4 linked regions of the Cricetulus griseus genome follow. The protein of the gene in region 2 purifies or fractionates together with the protein of the main gene of each other region. This does not show direct contact. Links are inferred from orthologs where the notes say so. Each region holds a gene or a part of one and is shown on either strand. Other genes may lie near its edges.

The links.
Region 1: the proteins of Slc31a1 (region 2) and B3gat3 purify together in Homo sapiens (co-immunoprecipitation; 3 studies listed by BioGRID and IntAct, with this or other methods). This does not show direct contact. The link is inferred for Cricetulus griseus from reciprocal best matches to the Homo sapiens genes SLC31A1 and B3GAT3.
Region 3: the proteins of Slc31a1 (region 2) and Stx7 purify together in Homo sapiens (affinity purification with mass spectrometry; 3 studies listed by BioGRID and IntAct, counting the BioPlex papers as one, with this or other methods). This does not show direct contact. The link is inferred for Cricetulus griseus from reciprocal best matches to the Homo sapiens genes SLC31A1 and STX7.
Region 4: the proteins of Slc31a1 (region 2) and Usp32 purify together in Homo sapiens (co-immunoprecipitation; 3 studies listed by BioGRID and IntAct, with this or other methods). This does not show direct contact. The link is inferred for Cricetulus griseus from reciprocal best matches to the Homo sapiens genes SLC31A1 and USP32.

What each region holds. Positions count from the first base shown.
Region 1 is NC_048596.1:51,172,043-51,176,328, forward strand, and holds the start of B3gat3 (galactosylgalactosylxylosylprotein 3-beta-glucuronosyltransferase 3), read right to left. Parts: upstream 2,859-4,286; 5' UTR 2,820-2,858; coding exon 2,738-2,819; intron 1,495-2,737; coding exon 1,320-1,494; intron 172-1,319; coding exon 1-171. UniProt on the Homo sapiens protein: Glycosaminoglycans biosynthesis. Involved in forming the linkage tetrasaccharide present in heparan sulfate and chondroitin sulfate.
Region 2 is NC_048595.1:83,482,125-83,486,261, forward strand, and holds the start of Slc31a1 (high affinity copper uptake protein 1), read right to left. Parts: upstream 2,820-4,137; 5' UTR 2,761-2,819; coding exon 2,614-2,760; intron 2,196-2,613; coding exon 2,123-2,195; intron 451-2,122; coding exon 282-450; intron 1-281.
Region 3 is NC_048595.1:243,388,297-243,391,862, reverse strand, and holds part of Stx7 (syntaxin-7), read right to left. Parts: intron 2,582-3,566; coding exon 2,512-2,581; intron 51-2,511; coding exon 1-50. UniProt on the Homo sapiens protein: May be involved in protein trafficking from the plasma membrane to the early endosome (EE) as well as in homotypic fusion of endocytic organelles. Mediates the endocytic trafficking from early endosomes to late endosomes and lysosomes.
Region 4 is NC_048600.1:98,264,993-98,268,558, forward strand, and holds part of Usp32 (ubiquitin carboxyl-terminal hydrolase 32), read right to left. Parts: intron 1,286-3,566; coding exon 861-1,285; intron 1-860. UniProt on the Homo sapiens protein: Deubiquitinase that can remove conjugated ubiquitin from target proteins, such as RAB7A and LAMTOR1.

The sequences.
Region 1 (4,286 bases), on a different chromosome or scaffold from region 2:
TGAGCCTTGGGGGTTAGGACAGCCAGGTGTGTGAAGAGGAGACCAGAGGCAGCCAGCAGCCCCGAGACCAGCGGGGTAGGGCTCTCAGCGTCCTCCACCAGCAGCCAGTGTAGACGGGGCACCAGGCTCAGGGTCTGGGACAGCCGAACCAGCTCTGCCTTCTGTACCAGCCTGCAGGGGGAGAGATGCAGGAAGGAAGGGACCAGGCAACCTTGGCCCACAGCACTTAGGATAATAGCTGCTCCTGGCCACTGTTAGCATCTCCCTGGATTTTCCTTCACCAGTGCCCAAGCTTTGGATGTGTGCATATGTTATTTAGGACAGAACTCAGGGCTTCAGGTATTCAAAAAAGAATCATGAGACTGCCAAGTTGCCTCCCTCTTGAATGTCAATTTCGTGCAGATGCTGACCTTCCCTGCCTTTCCAGACCAGGTCACCACTCTCTTCAACCTGAGGACTCAGGCTAGGGTAAGAATATAGGACACATGATTTGGAATCAAATAGATCTGGGTTTGAATAATTTTATAGTTTGTCCTGATTTTCAATACAGGGATTCATGTTGTTAGGCTGGTTTCTCTGAGTAGCCCTAGCTGTCTAGCTGTCCTGGAACTCACTCTGTAGACCAGGCTGGCCTCAAACTCAAGAGATCCACCTACCTCTGCTTCCCAAGTGCTGAGATTAAAGGCGTGTGACACACCACCGCCAGGCAAAACATTTCTAAAAGCTGGTAAATTACCTGCCCCTTTCTACAACACCCTGCTGGGGATCACTGTCAGGGCCTAGTGAATGCTAGGATGTCAACTACCACACCTGGAGCTAATCAAAGTGTTAGAACTTTCTAACCAAGAAATTCCAAAGAGGAGTTAATTCATTGTCAGCTCAAATTTCCTTTCCAACTTTATTGTCCTCTTTTAAAGTTTAGCAGTAACTCAGATCTGGTAGAGGGGTAGCAGTGGCTCACACCTTAAACCCAGCACTCCAGCTAGTCTCTGAGTTAAAGGTCAGCCAGGTCTACAGAGCTAATTCCAGGACAGCTAGGGCTGCATCAGAAACCCTGCCTCAGGGAAGATAAAAAAAAAAAAAAAAAAAAAAAAAAAAAAAAAGTTTACCAAAAATTCAGTAAGGTAATCCACTTCCTATTATCCCTTTGTCCATTTTTCTAGAAAGGTAATTTTCCCGCCAATCTGAGTAAAGGTAGACCATTCATCATAACATTTTGCAAGCTCTAGTTTAAAGATCACCCCCTAGTTCAATGCCTCCCCAAATTCATAATTAACACATCTTGGTAGATGCAGACCTCGAGTGTACCAGAGCCATACCTGGCATAGGTGGGGGTAATGACATAGATAGTGGGCAGAGCCTCGGGCTCAGGGGGCTGGGCTGGGACAGGGGGTGGTCGACGGAGATCAGCTTGCAACTGGGAAATCCTCAGGTCCTTCTGTCGAAGCTGCTCAGCTGCAGCTCGAAGCGGAGGGAGGCAGTCACATGGCTGGCCTGGTCCCAGGAAGCATCAACAGAGAATGGGAATTGGGGCAGACAACCACAAGATAGTAAGTAGTTCAACAACCCAGAGCCAAAATCTTTCTAACTCCTAGTGAATTCAGGACTTCCCTTTTAACCTTTTCTTTTAACCTTTTTTTTTTTTTTTTTTTTTTTTTTTTTTGTAGCAGGGAATTCACTAGCAAGCACTTTTATCTTTATCTTTCTTTTATTGTTGTTTTAAGATAGGGTCTTGCTGCTGGTGGCAGCAAAGGCTGTGGTGGCAAATCCTTTAATCCCAGCACTTCTCTGTGAGTTCAAGGCCAGCCTGGTCTACAGAGTGAGTTCCAGGACAACCAGAACTGTTTCACAGAGAAACCCTGTCTTGAAAAGAAACAACAAAAGATAAGGTCTTGCTATATAGCCCAAGTTGACCTCACACATTAACTCATTAGCCTGTTTTCCAAATGGTGGGTCACCATACTCAACTCTTTTTTTTTTTTTTTGTTATTGTTGTTTGAGACAAGGTTTGTCTGTGTAGCCTTGGCTATCCTGGAACTCACTGCTGGAGTTAAACGCATAGGCCACCACTGCCTGGTTCAGCTCTGCATTGTTAATTCCATCTGTCACTTTTGTTTTCTTTGCTGAGCCTCCAACCCAGCGCCTCAAACTTGCTGGTGCTGAATTATCCAGCCCTGCTATTATTTTAACTTGTATATTGGGCTGATAATCTGTCAGTCTTTCTACCCTTGATCATGATTTTACCTTCTAGACTAAGAAGGAATAGAAAAGTCTGAACCGCTCACGAACTCACTGAGGCAGTCGGATCTGTGTGAGTTCGGCCAGCCTAGTCTACAGGGTGAGTGCCAGGACAGTCTCGAGGGAAAAAGGGATCGGGACTAAGAAGGGTTACTTGAGCTAAGATGGTTAGAAGTCCTCTCTACGGTGACATCTGGCCTAAAACCTGAAGGATGAGAAATAGATAGTTTTTTGGGGGGTAAGCTCTGCAGGTCAAGAGCTTGAGGGGAGAACGAAGATAGGATTTTCAAAAATCTGTCAGCAAGCGGGTCTGAGCGGCAGAGAGAGGAGGGGTGCCCGACAGCGGCGGCGGCGCCTTTCGCTGCCCGGCTGGCATCCGCGGAGACGCAGACCACGGAGAGTGTCCAGAGGGCCGAGCGGGAGGCAGGCGTCGGCTAGGCCGGCCGTCCCTGCGCCTAGGGCCGGCCCCCCGCATCCCGCCCCGCCCCTCCCCGCTCACCAAGCTGCACCAGAGCGTAGAGGAGGCCGGCGATCGACACCAGGAAGTAGGCAAGAAACACGTTCTTCAGCTTCAGCTTCATGGCCGCGCCGCCGGGGCAGGCGGGGTCCGCCGGGGACCGGCAGGGACAGGGTCCGCCCGTCCCTCGGCCCTCCCGCGGGCCCCGCCCCGCCCTGAGCCCCGCCTTCCCAGCACTCCCCTGTAGTTCCAGAGAACCCCCGAGCACCACCCGGGACCACTTCCGGCCAGTAGCACCCCCCCCTCCCCAAGATAACTTCCGGTCCCTCCTCCTGGTGGGCCAACCAGGGAGATGACGCCACGTCCGCTGCGTCAAGCGTTCACAGTGGCAGTCAGAACCTTGGTAGGAGCACGTGGGATCTAGCTGGATGTGGAACTCGGAATTGAGAACAAGTCCCGCCCCTTCCCCTGGGTCTTCTAGACACCCATTCATCCGTCAGCATCTGGCACCAGCATTGGCTTTTCAAAGAAACTGTCTTTCAATACTTGTTCAACCAATGAATGAAATCTATGGCCTGCCAGGTACTGGACAGTTTAGCTGGGTCTATTCCATTGGTTCTCAATCTTCCTAATGTTGCAACCCTTTAATAAAGGGTTAATAAAGCTATTCTCCTTGCTACTTCATAACTATAATTTTGGTACTATTATGAATGGTAATGTAAAATGTTTTCTGAGGTAAAAGGATACCAAGTTTATAAACTGTCAGTTACTTACTAACATTTAATTTACATACTTAGTGGGGGAAGTCGCTCAGTCTGTAGAGTGCTTATCTAGTACCCACTGGTTTATATCACCAACATAAACCTAGGGGAGTGGTGCATGTCAGTCCCAGCACAACATGGCAAGTGGATGCAAGCTCTTCCATTACATATTAAGGTGGAGAATTCAGAGGGTCAGCCTAGGCTACCTGGAACCCTGTCTCATACACATACTGACTTGTTATATTGTTTCAATACGTAAAGAAAACACAAAAGGAAAATTAATGTTCATATCAGTAAACACTTCCTCAATGCTACATCATTATGATGAAAATATTCAAAAGTCTTTCATTTAGCTATAATCACTACTGCTCTGGAAGGAAGACAGAGTCACCAGCTAGTCAAAGAAAGCAGGATGGGGAATACAGAATAAAAGTAACAAAGCCACATAAAAGAATGCAGGTTTAAAATATGGGTTAATCTGAGTTATAAAACTAGTTAGGGCCAGGCGTTGGTGGCGCATGACTTTAGTTCCAGAACTCCGGAAGGCAGAGACAAGCAGATCTCTATGAATTCCAGGCCAGCCAAAATACTACACAGAGAAACCATGTCTTGAAAAACCAAATAAACAGTAAATTTTAAAAGTGCTATTGACAGCCAGGTGGTGGTGGCACACGCCTTTAATTCCGGCCCTTGGAAGGCAGAGGCAGGAAGATCTCAAGTTTGAGGCCAGCCTAATCTAATCCACAGAGTGAGTTTCAGGACATTTGATCCTGTATTGATTTCCATCCAAGAGACCCCATTAGCTCTGATCACCACTTACTAAGCCCACT
Region 2 (4,137 bases):
CATTCTGCCATTCTTTTATATCTTGACTATACATACTTAAAATGTCCATTAGTATTTAGAAAATATTTAAAAAACTGGATTCCTTTCAACTTCTTTCAAAGTGGCAAACACTTGTAACTTATAACATGTATGTGCCTTTACAGACCCCAAGTCCCATAACCCACCATTGGTAACTTCTAAAGTTACATAGAATCACTAACTCAGGCAGAAAAAAATACCTGCTTTGTTACATTATTAAAGACAGCGTAATAGAACTTTCCTTTGGATCTGTTTCATCTTACCCAACAGTTTTGTGTGTCTCCATAAGGATAGTTCCATTTGGTCCTGGGACAGGCATGGAATTGTAGCGAATGCTAACTTGAGACTTACGCAGCAGACCTTCTCGGGCTATCTTGAGTCCTTCATAAAACATTGCTAGTAAAAACACTGCTACAAAAGCTCCAGCCATCTCTAAGGAAGGAAGGAAGGAAAGAAAGAAGGAGGTAATGACACAGTTAAAATCATCGGCTAGTGTGCTGCCAGCCACAGTGGCACCGCCTGTGATCCCAGTGCTCACTCAGGAGGCTGAGGCAGAGGATTATGAGTGCACAGTCAGCCTGAGCTACATGGCAAGTAACTATCTCAAAACAAAACGGAAAAAATATCAGTCTCAGTTTGTGAATAATTGGATGGTTATCTCTTTACCCACTCAATAGAGACTTATCTGAAAAAAAAAAAAAAGGAATAGCCAACTGTTGGTTTGTTGTTTAACAGGGTTTTGTTGTGTAGCCCAGGTTGATCTTGACCTCCTGGAGATTCTCCTGCCTCAACTGCCTGAGCACTGGGATTACAGGTGTGCACCACCATATCCAGCTAAAACAACCTGTTTTTAAAAGTGCTGCCTATATATTTTGATAGGCATTTTAAGAGATTATGTATATATAGTGAAGAATTGACAAGATGAATTTATGTGATTAATTTAATTTAAATGTAACATACTATTTGAACAAAATGCTTCCCCCTCCTTTTCCAAAATCAAATTTGTTTATTTCAGAAATAAACTTGATACCTAAAGCAGTTTAAGTGACAATTAAACTCATGCAATTACAATTTAAATGCAAAGCACACCAATAAATGACAGATACAAAAAGATAGGTGACAGCTACCTTAAAACTAAGAGTGACTCTATGATATGTCAAGTACCAGGAACATGGAAACCATACTTTGATGTAGAAGAGAAAGCACTGGCTTAGAGAGTTCTAGAAAGTATGGTACTTGCTTTAGCCCTGTCATACTAACTGTGTGATTTAGGGCAACCATTTCACTATATGAGGCTTATTTATCTGTAAACAGGCAGTTATTTGATCAATACTTTTTTTTTTTTGAGGCAATGTCTATGTAGTCTGGCTATCCTCAAACTCTCTATGTAGACCAGGCCTTGAACTCACAAAGATCCTCCTGCCTCTGCCTCTCAAGTGCTGAGATTAAAGGTATTCACTACCATACATGCCAAGACCAACAGTTTTTTTTTTAATTTTTTAATTTAAATTAGTAACAATCTTGCTTCACACACCAATCCCAGCTCCATCTCCCTCTGCTCTTACCCCCCCATCCCCATCCAATCTGCCCTCTGCTCCCCAGGGAGGGTGAGGCCCTCCATGGGGGATCTCCAAAGTCTGTCATATCATCCCAGGCAGAGCCTAGGCCCTACCCCATGTCCAGACTGAGAGAGCATCCCTCCATGTGGAATGGGCTCCCAAAGTTCATTAGTGGGCCAGGGATAAATACTGACGATCAACAGTTTTTAATGTAGGGTTACGCTGTGGTATTTGAATATGCTATGTAGTCTTAGGCCTAGGACCAGTAACAACTTCAAACAAGAAAAGGATTGCAAAATATCTTAATATGGCATTTTAATTATTTTTCAGTGCTTCAAAACATACATATTAATTAAAGGAAGCTCACTGGAGGATCAAAAAAATGATGTATTTCATCTTCTGATTGGGGAATAGGAATTGTGATGATTATGTTGCACAACCAAATTGATCTGGCAATAGACAGAAAAAGACTCTGGATTTCCAAATCTGTCACTATGATCTCTCACATGGTTGTCATCTTCAAAGATTATCTGGTGGTTACTCACCTCCAGGTGTGTTGATTACCAAACCATAAAACAATAGTTCCACACGCTTAAAGCCAAAGTAGAAGGTCATAGGCTGCCAGAAAACCAAAACAAGTCAGTTAGAGAAGACTGAAGACCCTAGTGGGAATCTTGGGCAAAGAGGCTGACATAACACATCTAGACAAGAAATACTTGTAGTGGGAGGCTTTACTACCTTGGGCACTAAGAGTCTCCCCCACCCCCACCTTATGTCCTTTTGTCTTTTCTACATGAAACAGGACTTAATTCAGGAAAGGGTGAATTTCAAAAGAAAGGATTAAGGAAAGAATTCTAGAGAGCCTTGTTTCTGGTGTCATTCTGTATGTTGCCACATGAATACAGGAAGATCACCTGACTTGTGGGGAGGGACAATCTGCTTTGGTTTCTCTCTTTGACCTTCCAGTGCTAAAACTCCATGTTTCTATTATCCAAGTGTGTGGGCAAGGGCCTGTGCCATCCTCTGGGACACATACCATGTCTCCTCCACCATGGGAGTGTGAGGCAGTGGTTGGGTGATGGTGAGGTGGCATGGTACTGTTGTTGTCCATGTGGTCCATGTGGTCCATGTGGTCCATGTGGTTCATCCCCATATGGTTCATGCCCATATGGTTCATCCCCATATGGTTGGAAGTATCCAGTTTTCCAGAAAAAGATGAGAGTCAGCAAAAAGTCTTTCAAGAAAAACAATTATATATTATTAAGGACATAAAAATATTTTCTTGATAAATACTTTGTCTACACAGAACTTTCCTCAGTGAACAAATGCTTTCTTAGATACAGAAGTAACTTGGACTACTAAGGATCACCTTTGAGACAAAGGACAAAGGGCTTGTACTGAAGGCTTGAGACACCCATTCCTTACTCCGCAGAACTACTCCTCTAAGAAACAGGTTTAAAATAAATGCAGATAAATGGAGGAAAGAAGCCTCTTCAGATTGCAGGAAATAGATCTTTTGAAATAATTATCTATTGACATTAACAAAATGTAATTGCTCTTAGGCTCTCCAATCATAATCATCAGTAGATAAAAAGCCAGGACTTCAGATAATTCTAATTGGGATGGCCTGTGCTTAACCAGGATGTTCAGATTCCACTTAGAGGACAATCAGCTTTGAGCTCTTTTAAATCTGAAGAAAGGTCTGCTGCAGCCTCAGGCAAGGAGTGTGCCCAGCCTTCAGACACAATTTCAGTCCCACTAGGATATCAGAGTTAAGAACATGAAAGACAAGGTATAAATTGAATAGTCTTATATTAAATTAAGCTCAGACGACGCATATTCAGCCTTGTATCTTTGCACCATGTTAATGCTTTACTGCAGAAGTCAACATGAGTCAAGGAGCAGTAACTCCCATAGCTGCTGTGTGGGCAAGGGACTGGGAAGCTGGGATATAATGTGCAGGGGGAGATGTTCATAAAAGCTGTTTTTTTTTTTTTTTCTTTCTTTGTTTTGAGACAAGGTTTAGCCTGTCTGTGTAGCCTGGCTGTCTGGGAACTCACTATGTAGACCAGGCTGGCCCTGAGATCTGCCTCCTGAGTGCTGGGATTAAAGGCGTTCACCACCTCTTCCTGGAAAAACCTGTCTTTTCTCTAAGGAGTATTTTTATTTGTATGAGTGTTTTGCCTGCATGTATGAATATGTACACTTGTGTGCACTGTCTGAGGAGGCCAGAAGAGTGTGTTGGATCCCCTGGAACTGGAGTTACAGAGGGGTGTGTAACTCTGTGGGTGCTGGGAGTGGAGCCTGGGCCTTATTTGAACACAGCAAGTTTGCTTAGACTCTGAGTCACCTGCTAGCTCCTGAAATCTCTTTCTGTCCCTCAATTCCAGTATGTAGAAGAAATTAAAAGTAGGAGCAGGGCATGGTGGTGAGAAATATTCAGAGTCTGAGGTAAGCCTAGGCCACATAGTAAGTCCCTATCTCAAAAAAAGGAAAAAGAAATTGCAATTAGGTATACATGGACTTGAGTCTGAGTGTGCTTCTGATTACTCAAGCTCCT
Region 3 (3,566 bases), about 160 Mb from region 2:
ACTTATCTGTTTCTTTCGCAAGTTGGTTAGTATATTGCTGCTTCTGCTGCCTAAAGTGAAAAGAAAAAACAAAAAGAGAAACAGAAGGCACAAATACATTATTGTCAAAGAAAAACTCCACCACTTGTGTCAACCTTAGTAAATGGTTGTAGAAGAACTAGTCTTTTTGTCTGGGTATTTATAGTAACAAACTATAAACAGTGAAAGTACTCAGTTTTCTGAACATGTGGTCAATTTCTTCTGCCAAACCAAATCTTTAGGTTCTGTTTTTCTGATAAATACTAAGAACTATGACATAGAAGGGTCTTCATTACCTAAAATAACCACTCTTGGAGAAACATGAATTGTGATTACCTATAAGTATAGATCAATAGCTACAGATGAAAATGACTTCAGTGAGAAGGGCATGTAGTCAGGACAGTGATGGCGGTCTGGTCCTTTATATTTGAGAGACTGAAAATGTCTATAGCTCTTATCTGTGTCTCCCCTAGGACGTCATCTGAGAAAGAAAGACTATTTGTTTTTGTCCAGTGCCCAGGTGTGAGGTACATCTTGTATGTCTTATTTCTTTATGTGAATACTTATGTTCCACAAACACAAAGATGGAGGAGAAGTAGTGACAGTACAAATTTACTAGTTATTAAACTTGCTGTGGAAAATCTAACAGAGCTTCCTTATAAATAGACCTGAATACAAAAAAAATGGGGGAACTAAATTATACCTATACCTGTATTTTCCTAGATATCTTATAAAAAGAGTATGAATTTTAATGAAAAACCTTGATACTCAACAATATAATCTTGCATTAAAGGGATGCTTAGAAAAGACACCAAGGCCTCCCTTGTACATCCCTTATGTTACACATGAACTGCCAGTGAGGCTCACAATAAAAAGATGCTCAGATGCAGATGCCTGTATAGAGCTAGTGAAGAAGAAAAATAACCAGCTCACAGTTCTAGACACCAAATGCCCTTGCTTGGACGTGCTTCTCTAAGTTTCTGGAACAGGATAGTCAAAGTTCTCAAAATGCATGATCATGTCTATGGATTCAAAATTTCCACTGTTCGTGCCCCAAAACTAATGTGTCTATTTAGTATGAACTTCCATTGAATTGAATTTCAATGAATGTTTGTGTATTAGCTATGATTCACCCCAACACTTATTGTAGAGAAAAAATATGAACTACAGACAACTACAAATACTTCAAACTTCTTAAAAACATGAGTTTATATTCTGTATCTTTCCATATCTTCTTTGTACTTGTATTCTAGCTAATTGTTATATGGAGATAATGCTATGTGTGTGCATGTATGTTTGTGTGTACATATATATGTGTATGTGTGTTTGTGCATGTGTGTGTTTGTGAGTCTGTGTGCATATGTGTGTCTGTGTCTCTGTGTGTGTGTATATATATGTGTGTGTGGGGGGGGGTGTATCACTTGTAATCTGTAGCTAGTTAAAGTGCTGAGAACTCAAAAGGTTCTGAATAGTATTGGGCAGATCATCAAGGCCCTAAAAGAGAAATTTCCCTTATGAGCAATTAGAAATGGTTCTGTGTGTGAGCATCACTCAAATTTTACAAAGTTCAGGTGAGAAAAGATGACAAACACTATGAAATCTATAAAACACACAAAGTACTATTACTGTTCCTCTACTGGCATATTTACTGATACATATGTAGTGTGTGTGTGTGTGTGTGTGTGTGTGTGTGTGTGTGTGGTGTGCATGTGTATGTGTGTGTATTTGGAAGTTTTGACAGAGTTTCACTGTGTAGCCCAAGATGATCTGGAACTTACTCTGTAGCTCAGGATGGCTTTACATTCTCAGCAATCCTCTTGCCTTTTCTCCAATAAAATCCTACTATAAAAGCATCATAGAAATGGTTTTCTCTGCTGGGCGTTGGTGGCGCATGCCTTTAATCCCAGTACTCGGGAGGCAGAGGCAGGCAGATCTCCGTGAGTTCGAGGCCAGCGTGGTCTCCAGAGCCAGTGCTAAGATAGGCTCCAAACTACACAGAGAAACCCTGTCTCGAGAAACCAAAAATAAAAATAAGTAAATAAAATGGTTTTCTCTTGTTTCTGTCTGAAAAAAAAAAAGTTGAGGGCTGTTGGCTCAGAGGTTAAGAGCACTGGCTGCTCTTCCAGAGGTCCTGAGTTCAATTCCCAGCAACCACATAGTGGCTCACAACCATCTGTAATGAGATCTGGGGCCTTCTTCTGGCCTGCAAGCATACATACAGACAGAATAGTATATACACAATAAAGAAATAAATCTTAAAAAAAATACTTAAAAAAAAAAAAGCTGGGTGGCTGGTGCACAGGTCTTTAATCCCAGCATCCCAGCACTTAGAAGTCAGAGCCAGGCAGATCTCTGTGAGTTTGAAGCCATCCTGGTCTACAGAGCGAGTTCTAGAACAACCAGGGCAGTTACACAGAGAAACCCTGATTCCAAAAACCACAAACAAACAAACAAACAAACAACAAGAAAAAAAACCAAAAAAGCAAAACTCACAGCTGTTGCCTCAGTTCTGGTGAATCCTGAGGTGTTCCAAGTTGATTCAGAGTCCTTTGGATTTCCACAGCTATCGTAATAGAAAATTAATGAATAATTGTTACAAAAGTTACAGCCACAGAAAATATTACATTAGAAGCAATTAGGTAATTAAATGATGAAAAGAAAGAAAAACAAAGGAATAATGATAGATAATAATAATAATTGAAAAAATGAAAAAGTAAATGGTTTGTTTCTGGCTGATCAGGAACAGCAACAGACTGATTTTCCAAGAAAAATTGAGTGGGAACATTGACATGTGAAACTTGCTCATGTCCAAAACGGCAGCAATCTCTTTCCTGTGCTCCAGGGACTGCACTGAGAGTAGAACTATGCTGTTGTCTTAGAGGATGCATGGATGCAGACAGAGGGGAAGACATGGGACAGAGCATCAAGCCCAGAAAAGGAAGAAAAGTATCATGAAGACCCAGTGAGGATTCAGAGAAACAGATGCTGAAAAAAAAAAAAGATTCAAACAAGAACCTAACATATCTGTGTTCTTCTGGAGGACACTCCCCAGAGCGCCAATGGGGTAACACCTCTATTGGTGGGGGATAGGGAATAGAAGGGCATTGTCTAGTTTGGAGACTCAGCTATCTAATTCTGTACTTAGATGCAGAATAAAATGGCCAGATTACCACTATACACCACAAGTAGAAAGTAAACTCCTTATAGGCAAGAACTAGAACTGTATTTTATCTGTTTCTAAATCAGTCATTACAGGACTGATCATAGTACTGATACTCAGTGGATATTTTTATAACATAACTATAAAAAATGTACTGGATAGATCAATTATATAAGAAATAGCATGCATTTCTAAAACACAACAGTAGGGGGTGAGTTTAAAATTGCTAAGTGCTCAATTGTAATTAATTCACTCATTCAGTAATTCCTGGCTAACCTCTGTTCTGGATATGAACAGCAATTCTGCAGTATCCTTTGACTCGAGTAGGAGGTGTATGCTTGAAAATCAACTAAATCTTCAAACACTAGAAAAAGGTGCATGGAAAAAT
Region 4 (3,566 bases), on a different chromosome or scaffold from region 2:
TCCTAGGTTGGTTTCAAACAGAGATCCTTTTGCTTCAGGTCTCAAGTACTAAGATTAGAGGCATGTGCCACCAAGTCTGGCCCTGTAACAATTATTTAGAAAGCAAAATTTCCTTAGGAAAAAAAAATTTAAACAGGGGAGAGCACAAAGTTAATTCTCTGAATCAAATTATACTAATTACATGGCCATTGTCTAAATCATACTGTGAGCTTGGAGTCTATCCAAGAGGCTAAGCTTTCTTTTTTAACTTTGTCTATCACCAAACTTAATGCTCAGCAAGTAAGCAAATTCTGAAAAAATGCCAGTTGATGAATGAATGAAGAGAAGCAAGCAAACTTCTGAGACAGGGTTTCTCTGGTAGGCCCAGCTGTGTCTGGGAACTAACTCTGTAGACCATGATGGCCTCAAACTCAGAAATCCACCTGCCTCTGCCTCCCAAGTGCTGGATTAAAAGCATGAGCCACTATGCTCAGCTTAGACTTTTTTTTTTTTTCTTCGAGGCAGGGTTTCTCTGTGGCTTTGGAGACTGTCCTGGAACTAGCTCTTGTAGACCAGGCTGGTCTCAAACTCACAGAGATCTTCCTCCTTCTGCCTCCGGAGTGCTGTGATTAAAGGCGTGCGCCACCAACGCCCAGCTGACTTTTTGTTTTTAAAGATTTATTTATTTATTATATATACAGTATCCTGCCTGCATGTATGACTGCATGCCAGAAGAGGGCACTAGAACTCATTATGAATGGTTGTGAGCCACCATGTGGTTGCTGGGAATTAAACTCAGGACCTCTCGAAGAGCAGCTAGTGCTCTTAACAGCTGAGCCCCCCAAGAATATTTTTTGAAATCTACATAATATGTGACTTACCGAAATTGCATATAGATTATAAATAGGTTTACTATGAGTATCTTCTCTTTGGTCATCAGTGATGTCTTCTTCACTATGGTTTCCAAGCTGACCATTACTATAGCCATTGCCACAAGCTTCATGCTCATAAAGGAATCCATTAGCCAAAGTGCTCTCATGATCCAGAGGAGTGACCAGCTCAGGCTGGCTGCCTCCCAACATATGTCCTCGGCTCAAGGTGTCAGCCAGTTCACATGTCTGCCCAGCCCCATTCTCTTTGCTGGCATCTAAATTCTCCTTACTACTGGACAATTTATTTTTGCTGCCAATTTGAGGCAGCCGAAGCCTTCCTTTGCTCCTGCCCAAAGTCCGTGGGCTGCTGTTAGGGCTGCTGTTTTTGCTGGAGGGACAGCTGGCTCCACTTTTTCTTGATGAAGAAGGTGAACCTGTGTAAGAGACAGGAAAAGATTTTTAAGTCCAAATGTCACAAGTTAGGTTAGATACCAAATAGTAACTCCCAACTGTACACATAAAGATAGGAATGCTGACTGCCTATTGTCACTCCTTATTTACACAGCTTGTGATGGCTATTCTTGGCTGTTAACTTGATTACATCAGGAATTAGCCAAGTGTCTGGGTACACCTGTGAGGGATTTTTTTCTTAATTATTTGAAGTGGGAAGACCCATTTCTAATTGAGAAGTGGGAAGAAAAATCTTTAATCCAGATTTTCAGGGCATTTATCCATCCATCCATCCATCCATCCATCCATCCATCCATCCATCCATCCATCCATCCATCACGGTTTTTCAAGACAAGGTTTCTCTGTGTAACAGCATTGGCTCTCCTGGAATTCCATTTGTAGACCAGGACGGCTTCAAACTCAAGAGATCGGCCTGCCTCTACTCTAGAGTACTAGAATTAAAGCCATGTGCCATCGTGCTTCCTTCAGCAGCACATATGGGATATATAGTCTCTCAGTTCTGTTCCTCTAGAGAACCCTAATACACAACTAATAAAATAGGCAAAAGTGAAAATGTAGAGTACATTGTAGGAATTACAAAATCACAGAAAGGTGATTTATATCATATTCAGCTCATAACAATGAATTTTATAAATACATTCTTGGGCTGGGTATGGTCTTGTTACTCAGGAAACTAAAGCAGAAGGATTCTAAGTTTAAGGCTAACCTGGGCTACACAGTGAGTTGCAGGCCAGCTTGTACCACCATAGCAAGATCCCATTTCAAAAGCTAAAAACAAGATGGGTGGTGGTGGTGCACACTTAATCTCAGCACTTGGGAAGCAGAGGCAGGCGGATCTCTGTCAGTTCGAGACCAGCCTGGTCTACAAGAGCTAGTTCCAGGACAGCCTCCAAAGCTACAGAGATCCTGCCTCAAACAAACAAACAAACAAACAAAGAGACACAAGGAGGATTGAAAGTTTAAGGCTAGTTTGGGCAACAGTAAGCTCAAGTTCAGGATGGGAAACTTAGTGAGATGCTACATCAAAACAAAAAAAGAGGCTGGAGATGCATTAAAGTGGGAAAGCACTGTCTAACATGTGTGAAATCCTCGATTCAATACATAGCAAAATGAAGGAAAAAACCATAAAAACTCTGAGGAATTAAAACTATACAATACTCAACCATCTATTTCACTGGAAAAAGGTTAGTCTAGCTACATGAAATTTTCCATGACTCTATGGTACATTTTTCAGAGAATGAAAGTAAAACTCACACATGGACTGAAGCTGTAGTTATGGGAAAATGGTAAAAAGAATCATATATATCAACATTCTTCACCTGTGGACCCCACAAGATCCAAATAATTACAGATCAGAATTAATAAAAAATTGCATTTTTACTGAAACAATACAGATTTCTTTCGCATGATTTCATAAATATTATAGTATAGCTATTTACATAACAGTGTAATGTCTATTATTCATATATATATACATATAATATACATATACATATACACACACACACACATATACACACATTTATTTGTGTGCATCTGATCTGTGTGGGCATACATAACATGGTGTTTATGTGTAGTCAGAGGACAACTTGTGAGAGGTCAGCTCTCTCCTATCATGTGAGTCTAGGGCCTGAATTTAGGTATCTTTATCCATTGAGCAATTCTGCTGGCTCTTCTGGAGGACCCAGGTTCAATTCCCAGTGCCCACTTGGCAGCTCACAACTGTATGTAACTCCAGTTCCAGGGAATCTGATATCATTATACCAATGTACAAAACAAACAAACAAACAAACAAACAAAAAACAAACAACAACAACAACAACAACAAAATACCTTAGAATTTCCCTGCTTTAGTTTTCTAAGAAATGTGATTACAGGTGTATGTGTTATCTCACACCTGTCTTGTACAGGGTATTATAAAAGATACAGAGATTATTTAAAATGTACAGAGAAGATATTAATAGGTTATATGCAGATATCACACCATTTTATGCACAGGACTTGAACACCCATGGTTTTTGGTATCTGTGATGGTCATCTTGTCAGCTTGGATTTGGTTGAGTTTAGAATCACCTAGGAGACACACCTCTGAGTGTGCCTGAGAGTATTTCCAGGAAGGTCTAATTAGGAAGCCAAGACCCACCATGAATGTGGACTTTAACATCTTGCTGTCTGGGGTCCTGAACTTAAAACAAAAATGGAAAAAGGAACTGGCTAAACACCAGCATTGATGTCTCTCTGCTT